Regions from separate parts of the Mus musculus genome. Here region 1 is reported to be linked to region 2. Evidence: microRNA targets listed by miRTarBase, many of them from high-throughput screens and not tested one by one. Region 2 holds a microRNA gene; the other region holds the end of a gene's coding sequence.
Evidence for each region. Region 2 holds the annotated microRNA mmu-miR-3474 (CCCUGGGAGGAGACGUGGAUUC, at 2,405-2,426, opposite strand). A microRNA usually pairs through its seed, bases 2 to 8, with sites in the 3' UTR of a target mRNA and lowers its output. Matches are read on the target gene's strand: a 7mer-m8 pairs with bases 2 to 8, a 7mer-A1 pairs with bases 2 to 7 and ends in A, and an 8mer does both.

Region 1: miRTarBase lists Tapbp as a target of mmu-miR-3474. Seed matches in the 3' UTR shown: 7mer-m8 at 1,505-1,511 and 7mer-m8 at 1,747-1,753.

The regions. Positions count from the first base shown.
Region 1 is chr17:33,927,071-33,934,170 of GRCm38, forward strand. Tapbp (TAP binding protein) reads left to right here. Exons shown (of 8, transcript NM_009318.2): 8 at 1,070-2,220. The coding sequence ends at 1,081. It overlaps Rgl2 (ral guanine nucleotide dissociation stimulator-like 2), which reads left to right and starts at 2,824. Exons shown (of 18, transcript NM_009059.2): 1 at 2,824-2,974; 2 at 3,175-3,371; 3 at 4,656-4,739; 4 at 4,970-5,148; 5 at 5,251-5,301; 6 at 5,384-5,681; 7 at 5,939-6,190; 8 at 6,281-6,384; 9 at 6,471-6,555; 10 at 6,642-6,710; 11 at 6,827-6,901. The coding sequence starts at 3,216.
Region 2 is chr2:158,633,907-158,641,008 of GRCm38, reverse strand. It overlaps Mir3474 (microRNA 3474), which reads right to left and starts at 2,426; the gene lies at 2,369-2,426. Actr5 (ARP5 actin-related protein 5) reads right to left here. Exons shown (of 9, transcript NM_175419.4): 6 at 5,583-5,702; 7 at 4,862-5,001; 8 at 4,209-4,341; 9 at 1,798-2,376. The coding sequence ends at 2,119.

The sequences.
Region 1 (7,100 bases), not on the chromosome of region 2:
GGAGAGAGGAGTTAAATGAAACAGGTAAAATTTAATCACACATTTTATTAAGTTTCTGTTGATACAGGTCTCATGTAGCTCAGGCTGCCCTCAAGCTTGCTACATATTTGAGGATGACACTCCCCCTCCCTCCTGCCTTGGCTTTTTGAGACAGGGTTTCTCTGTGTAGCCCTGGCTGTCCTGGAACTCACTCTATAGACCAGGCTGGCCTCGAACTCAGAAATCCACCTGCCTCTGCCTCCCGAGTGCTGGGATTAAAGGCGTGTGTCACCACTGCCCGGCTTAGAAGTTACATTTATTTGTGTGGGACTGTGTATACCACAGCAGACATGTGGGGGTCAAAAAACAATTTGTGGGACTTGGTTTTCTCCTTCTACCCCATGGGTCTTGGGGATCACACTCAGAACGGCAAGTACCTTTACCCCCTGGGCTACCCCACTAGCCCGTCTTTCTTCCTCTTAAAGATTTTCCCCTATGTGTGCATATGAATGTGTGTGGTGTGTTACCACACATAAGGTTGGATGTCAGAGGACAACTCTTGGGACCAGTTTTCTCCTACAACCTTGTACGATCCTGGATCAAACTCAGACCAGTGATTGAGTCTGCCTGCTGAGTGTCTCCCAGCATAAGTTTTTAAAGTGCAGAAGACAATCAGAATTTATTACAGGGTAAAGTGGGATACCATCAAAGCATGAGAATAGGCAGCAAAGAGACTGTATGGAGGGAAAGGCTCCTAAAGTGTGACAGGGAGTGGCCTGGGAGACCACTGTGCGGCAGTGGCCAAGTCCGGCTCTGACCTATCCAGGCAATGTAAACATGTAGACAACATAAGGACTTCCAAAGCTCAGAGCACAGCCCAGGGGTGGGGTTTGCTTGGATTCTCAGCTGACCCACTGGGTCTTCTGGAAGACTCAGGAGCGAGGACACTCATGACCATGTCTGGCCGGTGGGAAATGACAGCCCCAGCCTGCTCCCACGCCTGTAACTGTGAGAATGTTTCTACATTAACTGGGAGAAACTCACTTCCCTCCCAACACTTCCAATTCCCCACTTCTTTCTTCTCTTGCAGAAGTCACAGTAAAGAAGTTCTCGTCTGTGGAAGCCACCCTCATCTCTGGCCCAGATGACTCCAGTAGCCCCTGCCCCAGAACAACAGCCTTCTTCTCTTCTTCTCCCTCCATTGAATAGCTCGGATTTTTTTTTTTAAGGTTTTTTTGTTTGTTTCAATCTTTCTTGTTTTGTTCTTGTTTTTAGACAAGGTCTCTCTATGTAGCCTTGGCTGGCTGTCCTGAACCCTCACCAAGCCAACCAGGCTGGCCTCGAAGTCCCAGAGATCCACCTGTCCCTCTGCCTCGGAGTGACAAACGGCACTGGACACCATGCCTAGAGGTCTTTTTTTTTTTTGGTTTTTGGAGACAGGATTTCTCTGTATAGTCCCGGCTGTCCTGGAACTCACTCTGTAGACCAGGCTGGCCTCGAACTCAGAAATCCGCCTGCCTCTGCCTCCCAGGTGCTGGGATTAAAGGCGTGCGCCACCACCGCTGGACTCGAACTAAACTTTTAAGATGAGAAAAAAGCGAGACTTAGCGCCACACTCATTTGATGCCCACAGTCGGGAGGCAGAGGCAGTGGATCTCTGACATTTCCATGCCAGCCTGATCTACAAATAGGGAGTTTCAGGTCAGTCGGGGTTACTTGGCGGGGCTTTGTTGAGAGAACTAAATATAAGAACACACATGCGTAGAGTCCCAGGGTTGAGAAGAACCAGTGTATGCGCCAGAGAGGCGGGTTCATAACCTGTGGCTCACAACCCCCTTTAAGTCCATCGGAAATACCAGACATTAGGATTCACAACAGTAGTAAAGGCAGTTACGAAGTAGCAAAGAAAATAATTTTACAACTTGAACTGCGTTAATGTTAAGAAGGTTGAGAACCACTGGCCAGGGGATTAGGACGAAAGGTCTTCATAGCATCTTAAGATTCTAGAGACCTCAGGGACAGCCCACAGCAGTAGTCTAGAGACGGAAAGGTCCATGTGTCTCCCTCGCGGACTAAAGCCTACCTCTCCAGCTCTCCATTCCTACCACAGCTTTTCTTTTGCCTGGTCCACCTTTACCATCTCCGGGCCTGGTGGGTCTCGGCCCTTTACGAATGTCCCCGTGTGGTTCGTCCTCTCCTGTTCGCCGGTCCTCGTGAGCTAATAAAGTCTTTCCGAGTTTCCATGCGGGCCTCTCATTCTCCCGTTTCCAAGCACAGCCAACCTCGGTCACCTCCCGGTCCTCGTCTCGCACCCGGGAGACGACATAGCCACCGTGGGAACCGCGCGCGCTCGGGCGCACGGTGAGAGCCGGACGCCCGGAGCGACGGACCCGAGTGGAACCGGAAGCGCCGCACTAGCCGGCTTCCGCCCCCTCCCCGCGAGTGGGCGGGCATAAGGGCGGCACAGAAAACCCGGCGCGGATTCGCTCCGTTGCACTCGTGCCGGGGCGGCAGTGTCATTCTCGAGCTGCAGTAACGGGGTCGCGCCACTGCTAGGGCACTTTCCTCGGCAGTTGCAGCGCCGCTCTGGTTAGAAAAAGTGACTTAAAATTCCGTGTTTGCCTTCCTGTGGAGGCTTGAGACAGGACCCTGGTCTCCAGCGTGTCTGCTGCGAGACGCGGGCTTCAGAGCCACCGAGTGGGGCTGCAAGGGACAGCGGAGTAGTGCACCTGCAGCCTGCGTCCCAGCCCCTGGCGTCCAGCACTCCCCTAGTCGCTCTCCCTGGCTCCTGTCCTCACTTCCTTCCCTTTTTGGCTCCTGCTGTCGGGCGGACGCGGGGAGGGGGGAAGCGGAAAGGGCGGGAGGGCCCGGGAGCCCGGCGGGGTGCAGGAGGGGGGCATCGCGGAAAAGCCGGGGAGGGGACTCGGTAGAGGGCCAGAGACCGACAAGAACAGAGGCCCGGGACCCGCGCGCAGCCCTCGCCCTTCCCGAGCAGGTCAGAGCCGGAGCACCGGGTGACCCTGCCCATTCCGCACTAGTTAGCCCCCAAGTCCCAAGCAAGCACCGAGGGCTTGGGTTTCCCCACTCCCGTATCTCCCTCCCCCAGCCTTCCTCAGGGACTCCCACCTAGGTCCCTTCTTGTCCGTCTCCCCCACGCCCGTCTGACTCCACCCAATCCCACCCGTCTCTCCCCAGGCGCCCCCATGGCCCGACCCCGCTGATTGCTTCTCTCGGCCATGCTCCCGCGGCCCCTGCGGCTGCTTTTGGACACGACCCCCCCCGGGGGAGTCGTGCTGAGCAGCTTCCGGAGCCGGGACCCCGAAGAGGGTGGGGACCCAGGTGGCCGGGCCGTGGGCGGGGGGCAGGAGGAAGAGGATGAGGAAGAAGAAGAGGTGAGACGCGGGTGGCGGGAGGCAGGGCATTAAATATTTCTGAGACTCTCCTCCTTTCGGTGTCTCTGGGTCCCTCGGTCTCTTCCTCCCCGCCTCACTCGCATCCCGCCCGCCACACTCTCTCTGGATATCTGTCCCCTGGCTGCGGGTCCTGGTGTCTATGAAGTTCGCCCTGTCTGTCTGCTCGGAACCTGCCCGTAGGAACCTGCCGGAACCAGAATGGCTGGCTGGCAGACGGGCTGACTGTGCCTGCGGGGCTCAGGCCCTCTTTGCCCATACCTGCTTAGACGGGTGCCACTGGGCAGTTGTATCTTGGTCCCTGTCTCCCTCCTCGTTTTTTGTTTGGCTGGGAGGGGTTTGTTTCCACAGTAACCAGCTCCTCAGACTCTAGGATTGGGGAGGGAACCCTCAGATTTCGCCGCCTCTTCCCCCACCCCCTGGTGCTCAATAGAGGGCAGCAAGCCAAGAGGTTCCGGCACCTGGAGAGATGATCCCGGGATAGGTAGAGCGTGGTCATCTTCGTCCAAAGAGACTGATAGGATGTAGTCCGCAGCAAGATTTAGGGATTCAGGAGGGTCCAGAAGTTAGATTCGGAGCCCGAGGATCCAGACTCCTGGGCCCCGACATTGGTAAAGTTAGGGTGACTAGCAAGGCTGGTTTTTCGGGATCGGTCGGGGGAGGGGCTAGGGCCACATGACTCTGAGTCTACCGCCCCCCCCCCCCATCATCCTTACTTCCCCTTCTTGTAACTGGGATTGGAGCCGCCACCTTCAGGGGGTCCCCAGTGCTGAGATTAAGTGGAAGCTGTATTGGGGACCTGGGGAAAAGGAGTCTCTGCGGAAGGACTAAATTTGGGCTCCTCTGGTTCTGTCAGGGAGGGCGGGCCTTGTGAAGTTTCAGCTTCTCTCTGCTTCAGGTCTCTCTTCCTTTGGCTTTGTGCCTCTTCGGGCGCGCTCTGCTCCTGACTTTGCGCCCTGCTTTTCTGCGTTGGGCTCAGCTGTGGGACAAGGGGGGTTGGAGGTGGCCAGAAGAGGGGTTCCTGCATTCAGTTGAAACCCTCACTGCAACCTCTTCCATCCCACCGAGCTCTGAGGTGGCCGGGGGGGCTGTCTGAGCCCCAGGGTGGGGTAGACCTGGGGTCACCAGTACCCTCTACCCCTCGCACTCGCTGGTATTGTCCCCCGCCATCACAGGTGAGGGGTGCAGAGGGAGGAACAGGGCCTGGGGACAATGGCTGGGGACTGGAGGTGCTGTGGAACTCACTTCCTCTTCTTGCTCCTCCAGGCTTCTGTGTCAGTCTGGGACGAGGAGGAGGATGGTGCGACCTTTACTGTCACAAGCCGCCAGTACAGGCCTCTTGACCCCTTGGTGAGATCACGACTTTGAGGTCTTGCCTCTCGGTTTTTAATTTAATATTTATTTATTTATTTTCCGGAACATTAGGTTGAAGAAGTTCTGGTAGTGTGAAGGTAGTTCTGTGTTGTGTGATTTAAGCCATTTCTGAACCGGGGCAGAAATAAGCTAGATCTGGATTATCCCAGATGTCTAGCAGTCAGATTGAGGAGGCCCGTCGGTGAGACACCCTCCATGTTCTCCAGGCTCCCTTGCCTCCACCTCGCTCCTCCCGACGGCTCCGCGCTGGCACTCTGGAGGCCCTGGTCAGACACCTCTTGGATGCCAGGACAGCAGGGGCTGACATGATGTTCACTCCGGCCTTGCTGGCCACCCACCGGGCCTTCACCTCCACTCCTGCCCTGTTTGGGCTTGTGGCTGACAGGTCAGGGGCCAAGGGTTAGGAGGCTCCTGGATTCCCTTTGAGCACCCCCAGCACCAGCGGGGGCTGGAAAAGCCACAAGGTAGACCCTCTCCTCATCCCCAGGCTGGAAGCCCTTGAATCTCATCCTCCCGGTGAGCTAGAGAGGACCACAGGGTGAGTGGCCCTGTCTGAACCTCAGTCCCCTCAGGGTGCTGAGGCTAGACCTCTGACCCCTGGCTGATTCCCCTTCTCTCAGGGTAGCCATCTCTGTACTTTCAACTTGGCTGGCCTCTCACCCTGAGGATTTTGGCTCTGAGGTCAAGGGTCAACTTGACCGGCTTGAGAGCTTCTTGCTTCGGACAGGGTATGCAGCACGGGAGGGTGTTGTGGGGGGCAGTGCTGACCTCATCCGAAACCTCCGGGCCCGGGTGGACCCCCGGGCCCCCGACCTTCCTAAGCCCCTGGCCCTTCCTGGCGATTCCCCTGCTGACCCCACGGATGTCCTGGTGTTCCTCGCTGACCACTTGGCCGAACAGCTGACCCTGCTAGATGCGGTGAGACCTTGACCTTTGACCCCACACTCTCTGCCCCCTTACTAACCTCTCCTTGGCTCCGGATCCTTTTCTTGCTTCCAATTGTCCTGGTGCAGTTCCTCTTCCGTGTCTGCTTCTCTGACCCTTCTCTGCCCTTCGCCCCTTGGCTGTTCCCCTTGAACTCTGGCCCCACTGGTCCCTGGCCACTTAAGAGCCTCAGATCCCTGATACTGGAAACTTGTCTGGCTTGACTCTAAATTGTAACCTCTGCCCTGCAGGAACTGTTTCTTAATCTGATCCCCTCTCAGTGTTTGGGAGGCCTCTGGGGTCACAGAGACCGGCCAGGACATTCTCACCTCTGCCCGTCTGTCCGAGCTACCGTCACACAGTTCAACAAGGTGGCGGGGGCGGTAGTTAGCTCTGTCTTGGGGGCCACCTCAATTGGAGAGGGGCCAAGAGAGGTGACTGTGAGACCACTGCGGCCCCCACAGAGGGCCCGGCTCCTAGAGAAGTGGATCCGTGTGGCCGAGGTAAGAGAGAGCAGGCCTGCTGGCTGGGGACTCTTCGTCTCCGGAGTGGTGAGGGACCCTAGAGCCTTGACTGTTCTCCGGTCCTCACAGGAGTGCCGCCTGCTTCGGAACTTCTCCTCAGTGTATGCTGTTGTGTCCGCTCTGCAGTCCAGCCCTATCCACAGGCTTCGGGCAGCCTGGGGGGAGACAACCAGGTAGGAGGACTGAAGTGCCCGAGGCCTGGGGTGCGGAAGCTTCGGAACGCCAGGCTTGTGCTCAGAGGCCTGTTCTTCCTCTCTAGGGACAGCCTCCGAGTCTTTTCCAGCCTGTGCCAGATTTTCTCAGAGGAGGATAATTATTCCCAGAGCAGAGAGCTCCTCATGCAGGTGAGGGCGGTCTTGCTTTCCCCAGCCTCTCTGCACCTGCCCCCTCCTCCCCAGCCCCCTCCTCTCTCACCTTGCTTTGTCACCAGGAAGTGAAGCCGCAGCCCCCTGTGGAGCCACACTCCAAGAAGGCCCCAAGGTCTGGCTTCAGGGGTGGGGTGAGTGTTCAGTGGGGCTGGGAATGGGTGGCTTACCTGGTGAGGAGAATACACAGTTGTGTCTGAGGGAAAGGGAGAAGGGCTCACATCCTGATCTCTGCCATCTCTGCCTGCAGGGTGTGGTTCCCTACCTGGGAACCTTCCTGAAGGACCTCGTGATGCTGGATGCGGCCTCCAAGGATGAGCTGGAGGTCAGTGTGTGTGTGGTGTGTGGGTGTATGTGTGGGTGTGGGTGTGATCTGTGTGTGTGTGATCTGTGTGTGTGTGTGTGTGCGCGCGCGAGCGGGCGTGCGCGCGTATGTGTATGTGTGTGTGATCGTGGGTATGTGTATGTGTGTGTGATCTGTGTGTGGTGTGTGTGTGTGTGTGTGTATGTGTGTGTGTGTGTGT
Region 2 (7,102 bases):
AAAGCAAGCATGGAACAGCCCGGTGTGCTGGCTCACGTCTACAATCCCAGCATCCTGGAGGCAGAGGCAGGAGGGCTACCACAAGCTTTGGGACAACCGGGTTTACACAGTGAGGACTAGGGTAGCCAATGACTGTCAGACCATTCCTAAAACAAGGGTGTGTGTGTGTGTGTGTGTAGGGACAAGGGAGAGAGACAGGAGACAATACACACAACTGCCGCTCAGGATGCCGTGACATCTGTGACATCACGCTAGGTAAAATAGTCACGCAGGGCCGGTCTCATCACACCAGTTCTTGGTGAATCTTTGATGATGTCTCCTGGGCTGGGGACAAGTTACATCCTCTTGTATGGCTTACCAGCTTCCCACCTGGCCTCCTGGCTTCTGTGACCAATTCCAAAGAGCAGGTTGGGGACAGAGCAAGATGTTTTTTCTTTCACAGCTCTGAAGGCCAAGGCACCCTCTGTCCTACATAACTCCTGATCTTGAGAGAAACGTCACTGCTTACAAAGGACCAGCTAGAGTCTAAGGCCCACAGTACATGGTGAATACTTGTGTTGAAGGCCTAGGAAAACTGCAGGTAGCAAACTCCTGGCTAGCTCTGGGAATGGGTAGGATTCCCTAAGGGCCAATTGGAGGCCAAAGGTAAAAGGTCTGACATACTTCACAGGAGACAAAACTAGAGAGCTCGCAGCTCAGCCCCTTGGCCCTCAGCTCCCAATCTCCTCCTGTGTTGACCACTGCCTAAAAACCTGAGCTATCCAGCCTACTGCTCGTTGCATTGTGTGAAGCACCAGGTTCACCCACTCCGGGCCCTTCACCACCTGCCTGTCCTCCAAGGCTATCTCATTTAAACTGAAGAAGAAAGGCTAAGATGGATGGCCAGTGGTCAGCACCATCTCTTGCCCTGGATGGTGCTATGAATACATCTCTCCTATGGAGATTGGTCCATGTTCTTTCTGCCATCCCATCAGTCCTTGGCCCAGCCTAGCACAGGCAATAGGAAACACCTTAGAACTCATGGGTCAACTGCCAGGGTCTTCTCCCCCTAGACACACGGCCCCTTCAGGCCTGCAGTTTCCCAGCCTGAGGACCGGAGATACAGGAGACTGCTCAGGCACACTGAGCAAACAGGTTGTGTGCTGCGTGCACCGTAGCAGCATCTCAAGGTTCCTGGGATCTGGACGTGGCTTCTGTGGTGCCATGAGCTCCGGAGCCACTGGGCTCAGTTCTTGGGTGTGTCTGAGAGTTAACAATCTTAGCAACAATCTATAAAAAATGATGTTTGGCAGGGTGTGGGTGTGTCACTAAGGAAGGCTGAGGCAGGAAGACTGAGGTGAAGCCAGCCTGAGCTGCACCATGAGACCCTAGCCCTAAAGCAGCAGAAGGGGAAGAGGGCAGCTACCTGGTCAAGGTCACACTGTAAAAGCGTGGGGGCAGGGGGACAGAGACAAATGAAAAGTCCCTGGGATGGGCTCTCCCCCGCCCCCGTCAGTTCTGCGGAGCGGCCTGAAAAGGGCATGTCACTAACAAACCCACAAAACAGACGAACACAAATCTCTGGCAAGGCTTCACAGTGTGGGAGCATCTCCAGCAAAGCAACAGTTAGAAGGCTGGACACAAGCGCCACCTTCCACTTAAGACAGGAACCAGGCAGAGAATGGGGTGGGGGCGGGGTGGGTCTTCCCACTCCAGGGGCTCAGTGGACGGCCACTTCCACTGCTTCAGCAGCAGCTTGGAGCACACTCTGCGCAGTCAGAGGACAGTGGCACACAGGACAGTGGCACACACAGAATAAACACTCCATGGATAACTTTAGAGCTTTAAAAACAAAACAAAACAGTGCAAAGAGCAGCACTGCCCACTTCTCCCTCCAGCTGTTTCCCTCACTGCTGAGGAAGGCAGTCCCCCAGCTTGTCCACAGTTCTTGGTGCCAGAGGCCACTGTGTCCTTCACTGAGGTAGATCACCTGCTCTCCTCTGCTGGGCTCCCAGGGGAGATCCAGTCACTGGCCAAACAAGGCTGTCAGACCCAGGCAGCACCATGGGGCACTGTCCTTGTCCCAAACACTGCCTCCATGGCAAGGGTGAAGCACAAGGTCATCTGGCGTCCCCCCTGCTAGGCCTGATCACCAGCCCCACTTCCACTGGCGCTGGAGCCTCGGCCGGAAGTCTGCGTCTCTGAGGCACGTGAGGCCTGCTTAGGCAGGCGGATGGGGACGTACGTGTTGGAGGCGCAATGTTCCTTGAGGTACTCGCCCCCCTTTTCTTCATAGTCCTTCCTGGTGACCCAGGCTCCACTGTCTTCTAGGTGATCCAAGGCCCAGTCACGGGCACCGTACCACGCATCCAGCACAGGGTTCGAGGCGAGCTGAACCTGGAACAAGACGCAGATGCACTCTAAAGAATCCACGTCTCCTCCCAGGGCTCCCGGCCCAGTCAGGAAGGTTCTGCTGCCTCAGCCAACCATTTGTACATCCTCAGAAGCACACAGAAAGGCCCAGAGATGCCTCCATTGTGAGAGTACACAGTTGCCCAGGTGTGTGTGTGTATGTGCCTGCACGGGTGGCTGTGTAGTATTTACATGTCCAGTGCTCATAGAGGCCAGAAGAGGCAGTGGATCTCCACGAATCTGGCCTACAGACAGTTGTGAGCCGCCACGAAGGTGCTGGGACCCAAACCCAGGGCCTCTGCAAGAGCAGCAAGTGCTCTAACCACTGAGCCACCTCTCCAGGCCCTACCATGTTTCCTCTTTTCACTTCAGCTCATTTAATTGTCTGGGACACGGCTGAGCAGGTAGTGGCCTGCACAGCTTGTAAGTGGCTCTAGGCTTCCACCAGCACCACAAAAATTACAAAGATAACAAAGACAGTAAAACCAGCAAAAGAAAAACAATGTGATCCGTCCTGTTTGTATCACACTAGAGACTGAGCTCCCAGCCTCAGGATCCAGACAGATGCTCCGCACTGAGCCCCAGCCCAGCCCTAGAAAGTCAGTGTTTTGTTTTGTTTTTTTTCGAGACAGGGTTTCTCTGTGTAGCCCTGGCTGTCCTGGAACTCACTCTGTAGACCAGGCTGGCCCCGAACTCAGAAATCCGCCTGCCTCTGCCTCCTATCCCAAGTGCTAGGATTAAAGGCGTGTGCCACCACCACCCGGTGAAAGTCAGTGTTTTAAAGTTAGTGTAAAATAATTGGACACGAGCTACTGCTACCTGATGCTGCCGTCCCACCAAACTGATACAGGACATGGGTGGCAGGGTGGGTGGGGCGTGAGAAGCAGCGCTCTTACAACCAGGCTCTCACAGCATGGCAGGGGGATTCTCGGATTGCCAAGTGGACAGCGTGACCGTTCCAAGAGCCCTTTACCCAACAACTTCCTCCTCAGCTGCCCTGCCAGGTCCAGTCAGGCACAGGCTTACAGCCTGAAAAGCCACGCCTTGGTGTCAACACTGCTATCCCTCCTCTTCCGGCTGCCTCTCTCCTCAACTTCACCGAGATGTCTTCCAGCTCCCAAGCACCCTTAAAGGCTGTGGTTAGGGCTGGATCCTTGGTGTTCCCTGTTCTCCCAGGGGGGCCCTGAGTTCCTAATGGCCTCTTACCTGAGTGCTAGCCACAGCCTGAGACAGTGCATTTTCCTCCACTTCAAGCCTGTCCATCACTCCTAATCTAGTGAAAAACCTCACCCTCTCCTCTTGAACATTTCTGAGAATGAGTCTGTATAACTTAGGCTGGCTTGAATTCACTCATTAGTTCAGGCTGACCTTATACTACCTCCCTAAAAATGTAAATTAATCACATGACTCGTGGCTCAGGCTCCTTCCAAGTCTCACTTGACCTAAAGTAACAACTATGCAGAGAGGAGCCATCAAAGCATCTTCCTGGTTACTGCAGAGAAACAAGACCCTGTCCAGAGATAAGTAAACAGCCAGAGACGAAGCCTTCACTATGGGAAGACATAGGTGACGATCCCCTCTGCTGCGGATGCTCTTTGGATTTCAGAACACGCTCAATACTGTCAACTAACAGAAGAGCAGAGCGATATACAAGTAGGATTGCCGTCCGCATAAGCTGACTGTGGCTTAAAGACAAGGCCAGCAATGAACCTCTGCAGTGGATGATGGGATTGCAGAGTCCAGTCTTTACACCTTGACTTTGCAGTCAGTGGCTGGGATGCCAATCACAAACAGTGGGTGGGGAGAGCAGTCTGTACCTGGAAGGAGGACTGGAAGGGCCTCATCTCCAGCAGCTCCTTCTCCACTCGGGCCTTCATGCCTGGGTACATCACGTTCCCACCGGTAAGGAAAACGTTCTGAACCAGGGTGTCCTGAATGGCCTTTGGGTACCTAGGAGAGAAAGCGTGCACCAATCTGGCTGCTGAGCCCATGGAAGCAAGACCTGGAGAGGCAAGCTCTTGGTACAACAGTCAACTCTAATTAAAAGAAACTAAACCAGTATTTTTGTTTTCATTCACAACTCCATACTATAGGCCAAGTGTGCATTCTTCCCCCATAATTAAAAACAAGATGAAATAAAAATCACTAGTCTCTCAGGGGTATGGTGTCTACACTTGTGATCCCAGCTACTCTGAAGCTTCAAGGTCAAGGCTGACGAGTATATAGGGAGACCCCAACTCAGTGAACACACAAATAAAATGATCACTGGCTTTTAGCAATGGCAAATTTCACATGAAAGCCAGGGGACATCCTGGCCAGGACTCAAAGGCTTAGTTGGTAAAGCTCACAGATGAAGGACTGGAGCTTGTACCTGTTCTGCCTGCAGGCCTGGGTCAGTGGGCAGACTACCTGCATCCAGGCAGCAATGGTGAGAGCTGGCTCGGGAAGCTGAGGGGGTATCACGGCTCACCTGTCCAGGACAAAATGGAGGGTCTCTGCAATCCCCGCCTGCTCCTCTCCTATGAGGGATGGCTGGAAAATAATCTCCGGAGCACGGATCCTCTCTGTCCCAACAGACAGCTGATGATACGCTGCCAAGTTAAACACGGGCTTCAAACCCAAGGTTTAAGAGATGTTTTTAGACTAAGATGACCATTTGCTCGCTGTCAGTTTTCTCAAACCACATCTCCTCCAGCCCAGTACCACCAGTCTTCAGCTCTCCTCCCTTCAAGCTCCGCCTTCTACCTCTGCTCACACTCAAAGTGACAAATCCCCATACACTGTGTCACGCCTGAGCCCCAAGTTACAGGAAGGGACTCTGAAGTGCAGCAGTCAAGTGGCCCAGAGGGACAGACCCTGTCCCTGCTCACCCTGGTTCAACACCTCCCCCCATCCCCAAGGGCTCAGGTTCAGTCATTTTATTTTGCTGCTACCAGCATAACAAGAGGCACAGACCCCAGTAAGGATGGTGATAATGGCTAAGAGCCCATGTGCAGGTCTGGAGACCTCAGTCACTGGCAGTGCTCACATGAGGGATGGCGCCAGCCCCTCAACTGTCCAGCAGGGGAAAGCCTCTGACTGAGGCTGAGAGCACAACGGGGCTCTCCAGTGCTCCCCAAGAAGCGGACTGGGCCGGTCACTTATGCAAACAGCTTCAAATGTACAGGTGGTCTTGGTAACAGTGCTCAAACCTGGACTGTGGTGACTTGCGGCTTCTCCACTTCGGGCGTTTCCTCCGAGAACAAAGGCTCGAAATCACTGATGTTCTCCACATCCTCCATGGTGGGTTCCAGCGGCTCCAGGTCAGGGGTCTGAGGACAGGACAGACAGATAAGCAAACACCAGCAAAATTCAGCTCCGATCTGATGCTGGAATCGGATGGGGTCTCATCTCACCCAATGTTCCAAGCACCTGTGCAGAAGCGAAACACTCTTCAAAGCAATTCACATGGGAAGGGGTGGGAATAATACAAGTTAGCAAAAGACTAACATAGGACCAGCAAGATGGCTCAGAGGGTAAGAGGGCTTGCCACAAAACTGACAACCTGAGTTCAATTCCTGAAACCTCCATGGGGGAAGAAAAGAATTAACTGTCAAAATTGTCCTCTGGCCTTCATGTTTGTGCACTACAGTGTGTACACACACACACACACACACACACACACCTCTTAGCAACAGAAAGGTCAGGCATTGTAGCACACACCTTTAATCCCAGCACTCAGGAGGCAGAGGCAGGAGAAAATTTGAAGCCAGTCAGAGCTGTAGAGTGAGAACCTGTCTCAAGAAAAGGAAAAAGAGAGAGAGTGAAGAGAGCTAGAGAGAAAGGGGAAGAAAGAGAGAATACTACCAAAGTTCTATATCTAGTCCTTACAGCATTCTCATGAGAACAAACAACTCGGCACTCCAGGAACCGCAATGGAACAGTCTGTAGGAAAAATGGACGTAGGGAATGCTGGTTCAAACTCCCGGCTAGCTGTGTTAATTCAGCCTGCAGTCCACAGCTGGGCTTCACCGGTGCCTTGCAGGGCCCACACTATTCACTTCATCCTAACTGAATTACATTGTGGCAATACTAAAAGGCAGAACAGATTAGTCAATGTCATGGCTGAGTTCATCAGGACTAGAACTATAGCTCATCCCACCACCAGCAGTCATCCTCCAACAACAGAACGACTGCTCGAGATTTGGTGACAGATTACTGCATCCAATTTGCTAAACTGAGAGCAACCTGTGTGTACTGTCCTGGCTAGTTTTGTGTCAACTTGACACAGCTGGGGTTATCACAGAGAAAAGAGCTTCAGTTGAGGAAATGCCTCCATGAGATCCAACCGTAAGGCATTTTCTCAATTAGTGATCAAGGGGGAAAGGCCCCTTGTGGGTGGCACCATCTCTGGGCTGGTAATCTTGGTTCTATGAGAGAGCAGGCTGAGCAAGCCAGGGGAAGCAAGCCAGTAAGGAACATCCCTCCATGGCCTCTGCATCAGCTCCTGCTTCCTGACCTGTTTGAGTTCCAGTCCTGACTTCCTTTGGTGATGAACAACAGTATGGAAGTGTAAGCTGAATAAACCCTTTCCTCCCCAACTGCTTCTTGGTCATGATGTTTGTGCAGGAATAGAAACCCTGACTAAGACATGTACCGTACACACATGGCCAGTGTCTTCATCCATTGTTTCCATCTTACTTAGACACATAAACAACACACATGGCCAGTG